Linked DNA regions of Daphnia pulex. The protein of the gene in region 2 purifies or fractionates together with the protein of the main gene of each other region. This does not show direct contact. Links are inferred from orthologs where the notes say so. Each region holds a gene or a part of one and is shown on either strand. Other genes may lie near its edges.

Region 1 (4,679 bases), on a different chromosome or scaffold from region 2:
ATAATGTCCACCATTCAATCGCTTGTTCGTCGTTGCCGAGCTCCTCGTTGAGACTGGCGACCTGGAAAAGAACTTCGGGCTGATGACGCAGGACCATCTGCAGTTTGACAAATTGTTCCAGGCTTTTTTCAAGTTGGTTTGTTGATCTGTACGTCAGACCTGCACGTTCAAATTGTCATACCCATTCTTTAGGAAAACGGACCAGATTGAATTGAATGCGTCATTTTTTCTTTACCGAGATTGTACAGGGCTTCCACACAAGCAGCGTCATTATCCAAAGCGAAAAGGAAAAAATCGCGAGCTTTATTGTAATCCGCTCGGCGGAGTGAACAATTGCCTAAGCAGACGAAGGCGGCCGCATTGTAAGGATCCGAATCTCTAGCCACTTCGGCGTATTTTTCAGCGCTGGCTATGTCACCTTGCTGAATCATATCGTTAGTAAAAAAATAGAAAAAGAAAAGAAAAAAACGGAATTAGTTTACGATTGTGTAAATTTATGCAGTAGGCGTTGAACGTACTAGGTAATAAATTGTCGACAGGTTGACAGCTGCGTTGGTAGCCATTCTGCTGGATCGTTTTTCAAAGCTCCTCAGCGTTTCGGTAGCCAGGGCCACGTCCTTTTGGCGTAGAAAGAGTACGGCTTTATTGATCTCCAAATCGTCTGCCAGATGATTGTGGGTTGACTCTTTGATGGCCTCGACGCACCTGGACATAAATCATTGTTATTTATCAAACATCCCCCCACGACGGATTTGAATAAATTATACAACTTACCACTGGTAGCCAACACTAAAAGTATCTTCGATCACAGGCGAGATTAACTTGGCGGCCATCAATATGCACCTTTCACCTTCAAATTTGGCCTGACGCTCCAAACGGTGTAACGAATCGTTATTCAACGCTTCACGCAACGAATTCCACTGGGCGTCACCCTGTGCAAACATCATTTATCCAGGAGAGGGGGAAGAAGAAAAATAAACAAAACAACAGAACTGAGCACACGAGATTATTCAAATTGAGAATGAGGCAGAGCATCTTATTAACCTCCGGCACCAGTTTATCAAAATCGTCCGACTCGGCACGAACGTCCAGCAAGCGAAGGAACGATTTGCGCATATTTTCCCGATCTGCCAAGGCGTAGTAGCTGAGCACCATGTGTAAACCTTTGAATGTTTGACGTTTTGGCATCAGGAAAAAGGGTAAAGCAATAAATTTAAACCAATTTGAAATTGACTTACCAGTTTTGAAGTCGGGCTTTTCTTGCATAACAAATTCGAAGCTCGTACAGGCGTCGTTGTACTGCCCCATTTTGATAAACAGCAAGCCAATGTTCTGCATTATTTTCGTCCTAATAAGGAATTCGTTTAGCAAGAGTAATCGAGAATTAGTTCTAAAACAAATAATGAAAATGTTATTACAGCCATTTACACTACCTTAATGTTGTAAAGTGAGCCGGAACTTGATCTAAAGCCATTCGATACTGCTTGAGTGAGAGCGCGTACTGTCCCAGACGAAAATGTAAATTGGCGGTATTGAGTCGCAGTCGACCGATGTTGGCGAAAGAACGATTTTTAATTAGCTGCTGATAGGACGACATGGCTTCTGAAAACAGTCCGTTACCGACGTACTGATTCGCTAGGTTGAACAGCACCTGTTTATTCGAAAATTCTTCGTATTAGTAAAAAACATGGAATAGCAAATTTTTTAAAGCAAATCAAGGCGCAGATCGTAATTACCATGAAAGCGAGGTCGCTATTCGATTCCCCCATGCCGGATTGCTCCTTTTGACGTATAAGACTTCGTTCTTTATTGACCGCTTCTTTGGCCTTGTCTAGTGCCACTCTAAATTCCTCTTTACTGTGAGCCACAATTGATTCTTCTATAATTTGTTGTATGCTACTTTCCAGCATTTTCATCTGCTTTTCTGGCCTGTGTAAGATTATAATGAATTTTGTGTAATAAGTTTGGGTTGACAACAAAAGCTACATACGGATCAACAGCTTTAGGTTCTGAAAATGGTGTTGTAACCCTGCCAGATTGATTCAAAGGATCGTAGACCTGACTGGCTGTTGCCAATCTTGATGAAGTATATCCTGCTCCACGAATTGCAGTTACTGGTCTGGCAACTGCAGTTGGAACCCCACCACGAGATGCTGTAACCACTCTTGATTGCTAATATCAAGTGCAATTGATGATAAATAAATGAAAATTGATATTTGGAAATCTTATTAATGTACCACTAAACAAATGAATAAAACCGCTGAGACATTTTACATAGTCTTGTTAACATTACCTGCATCTGTAGCATTGACTGCTGGTTTTTAACATCTCTAGATAGGGAGTCTTGAATGAGGCTAGATGTGTTCAGTGTAGGATGAAATTCATTGAATCCAGAATAAAGATCATCTTCATCATACGTTTCCATGTTATACTTATCCATATTATATCACTGAAAGATATGATCACTTCTAAGTAGTAATATGTAAGGTCAAAACAAACAATCACCATAGCAACTGTGTAACTCATTCCATTGTTGAACAATCTGACAGTACCCAAATTGCAGCCAGAAATAGCTTCTTTGATGATGACAGCCATATTAGCAATATTCTCAGCTATGAAATGTAATTAAACTTGTTACAATTTCTCCTAACCCATTGTTGAAAACAGGTTGATATGATTTTAACCACCGGTGCAACTTATGCTCGCTTATGCTTCTGAATTCCTATCAGAGGTAGTAGTAGACTAGTAGTAATGATTCTAAAAGGATTGGGCATCTTGGAAAATTTTTCAGCCTTGCAGCTGTATTCCTCCATTCATTTTTTATCCAGATAAGAAAATGAACTCCAAAAAATAACGACATTCCATTGCTAAATGACAACAGTCAACTGCTGTTTGTCTTTGTCAGCTAGGTGAGCTAGCCGCCCTAGCCCTAGCAGACAATGTTTTTCTAAAATACAACGTTGCTGTTATTTCCCTGATAGAAAACGACGAGCAGTCGGGGGGTGGGTGGGTAAGTCGAATAAGGCGCCGCTTAGTGAGTGATCGGGGCACTTTGGCAGAGTGATAGACTGATAGAGACTATGGTGATATTGGTGAAGCGACGCTGTAGGAATTCTCCATCATCTTATTATCTATTATCCATTACCTCTATCATCACAGATTATCTGTAAGTTATGTTATTAGCGCCACAAAAAAGAAACGTTTAACAGTAACATGAAAAAAATGTCCGCTCTACACCCTGGTTGACACTCAATTGCAAGAATAACTAACAATCAAAGACTTTGATACTCACATAATATTCTCCCCTTTCAATTTGTATCTCGTCTTCACCCAAAAATGAAAAATTCACCACCGCAGCATCACAGCACATCACAACAGACGAAATCCCCCCATTGCTTCTACAATGAGAGGAAGGCAGCATGACATTCGCTTTTGTGTCTCATCTGTTACTGTTAGTGATTCCAGATTGTTGACGAAATATCGTCGAGCTACCTCTACGTATCACCCTTTTAGCTTTAGTCCTGTCATTCTGAACTGAGCCTTACCTGTGATTAATCTTTCTTTCTTCTAATTAGGTTCGATGGCCATTGATGATTAGTGAGCAGCATAGGAATGCGACAGCTTTGTCTGGGTCTGGGCTAAATGCCCTACTAGATAGAATCCTCTTGGGAAACTTCGCTGCTCCTAAGTTACACAATACACCTCTTAAGCTACTTCCAAAAAGCAAAACAAATTTAGATTAGGATTTTGAGGTAAGTTTAACTGTTTTTAATTAATAACAATTACAACATAATTTAGCTATTGGTTCTAATTGCATTCTTGTACACTGTAAATTTAAATTTGTTGATTAATTTCCCTGCTATAATGCAATATATTTTATTAGTTTATGTTCAGGTGGGAGATCCATTTGCTTGTCTATCAAATAATTTGAGATCACAACAAAGTCTGAGCTTCATTGCTGTCATGCAGATGGTTTCATTGCAACCACCCGGTGAAAAAGGAGTTCAAGTTGAGCTGCAGCTGCTGCAAGCAGTCTGTAGCGGTGATGTCATCCTGAAGTGTTCTCAATGTGTCAGTCTAGGCTGAAGCTAATTAAAGTGTGTTGTTCACTTGTGAGTGTTAAAAGTATTAATTTGCATCTATTAAAGCGACTATGTGAAGTGTATACTAATAACTGTTAAATTAATCTTTTAGATCATTTTAGACGTCAAGCACATTAACAAGAAATTATAAACAAGATGCCTTTCTTTTTTTTATATATTTGCAGGGTCTAAACTACATCTCTCTAAATTTGCATACCAGACCTTATGAGAAGTCATATCGTTTGAAGAAGGACGACGACTACACAGTCAACAAGGTCCCATGTTTGAAAACCCGTTAACTGCTACCTGTGAATCTCCCTTTTTACTTCCTTAAACGGACCCTCTTAATTGAGGTATTGCTTGCTGTCGCTAAAATCTTATTTAAAATTATTGTCATCCAAATAAATGTTCATTCTGCTTACAGGGTAACTCTTCGCTACTGATCATCCACTGGACCCGACTTCATCCATTGGTGAAAGCTGACGAGAGACTGATAAATTGTGTAGATGTTAGATTAGATTGCAAGTGCATTTCTGGGCTCCCTTCTTTTCTGTGGCCCCGTTTCCCTAAATAACCTCTAACCAACGCCCGCCGGTG
Region 2 (4,205 bases):
ACATTCATGTAATTTAAGTGCTATTGCTTCAACTTTGTGTTCATCATTGTAGAACCAACGTTTCTCTTCCCCGTTCACGCCGGACTGTTCCTTCCTGTAATTTATTTTTCTCCAGGCAAAGCATTTTGACTCGGAATATCCTAGAAGTCAAAGTCAATCATTTTAATTATGACTTTAACTAAAATATAAGAAAGGCAAACAAACTTAATTTATACTTTTCTATTTTCTCCCAGTATTTGATCTGCTGCTCCATTTGCGGAAGGTTATCTCTAAGCTGTTTCTGATCTTGACGCAGTTGAGCGTTGAGCTTCTCCTGTTCCGCAATTTTATGCTGAAGTTGATCCCGAACGGATTTCCCGCGTTCAGTCTGTTGCTGTTGAACGCCGCTGACGTACAGTTTCATCTCGTCGGTGGCCCTCTGTAGGTATTTTTCATTTTTCGTTAGGTTAGCTTCCAGCTGACGGCATCGTTCTTCTAGCGTGACAATCTCATTCTCCAAACCGCTTTTCACCTGTCGTTACAAATATTTCATTGACTTACCGAGTCTAACATGACATGCCAACCGGACCAAAATCAAACGGTTTACGTTTACTATCGACGAGATGGTATCCTCGATTAGCTGAACCTGTGCGTCATATTCTTTTTTCTTAGCTTCGTATTCGGGCAATGTTTCTTGGTAAGTTTGTCTTAGAGGTCGTAATTCTGTTTTTAACAAAATTTTGAGCTGTGATTAGTACCATTTTAATTGATTTGAACGCAAAGGACAGACCTCGGAGAAGTGGAGCGAGAGCGACCTTCTTGTCGTTGATCTTAGAATTCAGAAGGCGGACGAGATTAGACATTTCTTCTAGAGTACGGCCTTTCTCTTCGTCTGTGTTGGCCTTTTCGTCCGAAATTCGCTCGAGAAGATCCCTCGTTTCGCGGAATCCTCTGACACCTTGTTGCGTTTCGATACGGTCGAGACTGTCGCTCAGTGCTCCTTCCTGAGCCCTGAGAATTTCCAGTGTCCGGCTCAGAATGCCGTATTCGGCTTTAAGGTCATTCAACTCGGCTCGTCGCTGTTTGTACACGTTACTTTTGACGCGCAAATCGCTAACATAAGCCTTGAATTGCTCACCAGTTAGTAATGCGTCGGAATTTTCACCCAATTGTTGTTTTTTGGCCTAAATGATATTGACATTGATTATCTTCGATGTTTAAAATCGTGTTTTTCAATTTAAACCTGAAGTTGGGCCTCCAGTGCCGTCATTTCCTGAATGACGTGATTTAATCTCTCAGCGCAGGCTTCTTTTTTCCGGGACATGATAAGCGACTGTTGTCTGTAAAGCGCCATACCGTCTTCTATCGGATCGTTCTGCAAGGCTCTTTTCTCCGTTAGCTGAGCAATTTGACTACGAAGTTCATCGCTCTAGATAACGACAACAAAATGTTCAAATCAAACTAGCCGCCAAGGCATTCACTTTTAACTGTTTTCACCTTCTGGACGACAAGTTGAAGATCCGCTGAAGTTGGATTGGGCGGCGCTAAGACTTTCTCCATCAAAGCTATGCTAGCTGTTATTTGCTGGGTTTCCTTAGTTAGCTTTTCGTTGATCATGTATTGATTGACTCGAATGGCGTCTTCAGCACGCTGTATCAAACTCTGCCCACTCGCGTTGACTTTACTTTGACGCATGTCCATCAGTTGATGAGTTAGACGTTGGCGACGAGCTTCCAAGTGGCTGAGGTAACTCTTTTGGTCGTCTTTCTGCGTTTGAAACTCGCGGCTCTTCTCTTTCTCGGCGCGCAGCTTTTTCGCCATGGAAAGTAGTTGGTTATAATTCGCCACACCCTCCACCTTGCAGTACGTGAAATAAAGTTAAAATAAGGAATAATAAAGGAAACCCCGCTGCTGGAAAAAATATGCTCACTTTGCGTTGTGTGCGTTCAATTCGACGGATCAAAACTTCTCTGTCATCTTCCATTGATTGGAGATCTTTTCTTAGATCGGATACAGTGTCATTTACAGCTTGGCTGGTGTCGAATTGTTTGTGTCGCTGTTTAAACTCTTCAATCAGGAATTCGTACTGTAATCAACCAGTGTAGTATAGATTTTAAAATGGTGTTTTATTTTTCAATAGAATTTCCTAATAATTACTCCTTACCTGTTCATAAAGATCAATAACATCACTGTCTGACCGCATTTCAGGCGCGATATCAATCTTGACCAAGTAGCGTGACAAGTAAGCTCGTTTCTTCAGGTCCTCCCTACGCTGCAGTAGCCAGTTAAGTATCGGGTTGATGGTTTCCGGTCTACCAGCGATCAAACCTTCACGGAATTCATTTCTATGAATTTAGTAAAAAAAAAAAAACATGTGTATCAGTGATTCCCGTTTGTAGACTCTCAAAATAAACTTACGGATCTTCCGTTTCAGGTTTGAATTTGAAAATTTGTAACGAGGTCAGTAAACGCAAAGCCAACGCATCGACTGGCTCGTCGTTGATATCGACCCGAGTTTTCGATTCAATTTCGCACAAGACATCGCTTAAAAGCTATTGAATTCCCGTATATAATTTGGGTTTTTTAAAGAGATTTAGATTATACTTTCAATTTTACTTGTAGTGGTCTGAACGAATTTTACCTGTAACAGCTGAGGAGGGTGAAGGGCGTTGAAAGTGATGTTAGTTAGATTTAAATTAAAAGGTGGTTGGTTTAGTTCGATCACAATGATTTTGACTAGCTGCTGCGTCATTCTACAAAGCCTTTTTGATTGAAATCACTGAGAAGAAGTACGTGTGATTTGCAACGACGTGTTTGACGTGTCCTGTTTGTTTTTATTGTTGCGTAACCATGGCAACGTAAAAAGTCCAAAATATTGACACACTAAAGTAAACAAAACCATTTCCGACTACTAATTTCAAATTAAATTTTATTGTGGACTTTGCAGCAATAAAATGATGCCATACAAATTATCCAAGAAAGGGTAAACTAGAATTTGCAGCGCCATTTCCAGATTGAACAAACTCGACCAAAGCATGCCAAGCGCTTAAGCCCTTTTGTTTCGCCTGATGTAAAACGTTGATGGAATCAAGAAATGCCCATCCTAATCCAGTCCTGGGAACATTGGAGTTACATTTGTTCCAAAATCCGCACTGCTGGCCGACGACCGTCATGTTCAGCGACATACCGGATACATTAGGATAGACGTTGCCTTCTCTGCTCCCGTAGTATGTGTGATTTCGATGGTCGAGCTGCATCACGTAAGGCAATGGATACTCGGAGAAACAGTCACGAATGAAGGCGAATTCGAATTGTTTGATGCGGCCGGAATTCATGTAAGAAAAGATTATGTGAAGCGTTCCGCAATAGCCCTGGCCTGGTGAGCAGGTTTTGACGTGTGCGTTATTTGGCCTGAATCTTTGATCCTGTCCACAAGGATCGTCAACAAGAGACGGTCCGTCTGCACGCGAGATCCAGCTGCAATGATAACACTCCATTGGAGCGGATGATGATGTGTAATACTGAGCAAGACAAACGATAACTGCCATGAAAGTTAAAATTAACAGGATGACTGGAATTTTCCAAAAATTTGACCGAACGACTGGCCTTTCTCCAGAAGTACTCCTCTTAATTTTCTTTTCTCCTTTTCTCGTCATTTTAACTCAGGACTTTAACTTATTGAATCTTATCAGTAGTTAGTTCTACAACCTTCAGATATGATCGTTAATCTCCAACTGAATGTAATGTTCCTCATTCTCACCAAATAACTCACTTTCCCTGTGAATTGAAATATAGAGGGAGGAAGAAGGGAAATCAAAGAATTCCTTTCCTTGTGGCTTTGAAGGCCAATTTTAAACTTTCAAGCCAACGATCTTCTTCGCTCTTAATTTCAAAAGCTCGGAAATTGCGATAGCAGGAAATAGTTTAGGTTTAGGCAACACCATTCCAATAATGTTGTTGAAACCCAGAAATTTATAAACACGTGAAATTCGTCTGCTTCAAAATCCCACTTGGTCGAGACTCGACTCGTACGATTTACTCTTCCAGAAAGAAAATGTTTCGATTTTCACGAAGAATTTTTGGTCGAAAACATGGAGGAAAAACAAAATTTTCGTCCACAACATCAACAACGGCAAATCCAGTGCCAGTTCCACCGACACCCGTCGAAGAAAAAGTATCCAAGATGGATCAGTGGAGTAAGACTTGAGAAACATGACTTCGGCATT

Evidence for each region. The genes of interacting proteins can lie anywhere in the genome.
Region 1: the proteins of intraflagellar transport protein 81 homolog (region 2) and intraflagellar transport protein 88 homolog fractionate together in Homo sapiens (co-fractionation; 3 studies listed by BioGRID and IntAct, with this or other methods). This does not show direct contact. The link is inferred for Daphnia pulex from reciprocal best matches to the Homo sapiens genes IFT81 and IFT88.

Annotation. Positions count from the first base shown.
Region 1 is NC_060019.1:9,737,207-9,741,885, reverse strand, and holds the start of intraflagellar transport protein 88 homolog, read right to left. Parts: upstream 2,919-4,679; 5' UTR 2,553-2,918; intron 2,469-2,552; 5' UTR 2,441-2,468; coding exon 2,294-2,440; intron 2,173-2,293; coding exon 1,991-2,172; intron 1,930-1,990; coding exon 1,737-1,929; intron 1,652-1,736; coding exon 1,434-1,651; intron 1,349-1,433; coding exon 1,239-1,348; intron 1,164-1,238; coding exon 1,045-1,163; intron 933-1,044; coding exon 775-932; intron 706-774; coding exon 519-705; intron 423-518; coding exon 236-422; intron 160-235; coding exon 12-159; intron 1-11. UniProt on the Homo sapiens protein: Positively regulates primary cilium biogenesis. Also involved in autophagy since it is required for trafficking of ATG16L and the expansion of the autophagic compartment.
Region 2 is NC_060027.1:3,610,346-3,614,550, forward strand, and holds the start of intraflagellar transport protein 81 homolog, read right to left. Parts: upstream 2,801-4,205; 5' UTR 2,732-2,800; coding exon 2,621-2,731; intron 2,532-2,620; coding exon 2,398-2,531; intron 2,325-2,397; coding exon 2,144-2,324; intron 2,066-2,143; coding exon 1,910-2,065; intron 1,837-1,909; coding exon 1,477-1,836; intron 1,409-1,476; coding exon 1,223-1,408; intron 1,164-1,222; coding exon 770-1,163; intron 703-769; coding exon 587-702; intron 512-586; coding exon 216-511; intron 141-215; coding exon 44-140; 3' UTR 1-43. Other genes in the region: mitochondrial import inner membrane translocase subunit Tim29-like, read left to right, coding at 4,163-4,175. UniProt on the Homo sapiens protein: Component of the intraflagellar transport (IFT) complex B: together with IFT74, forms a tubulin-binding module that specifically mediates transport of tubulin within the cilium. Binds tubulin via its CH (calponin-homology)-like region.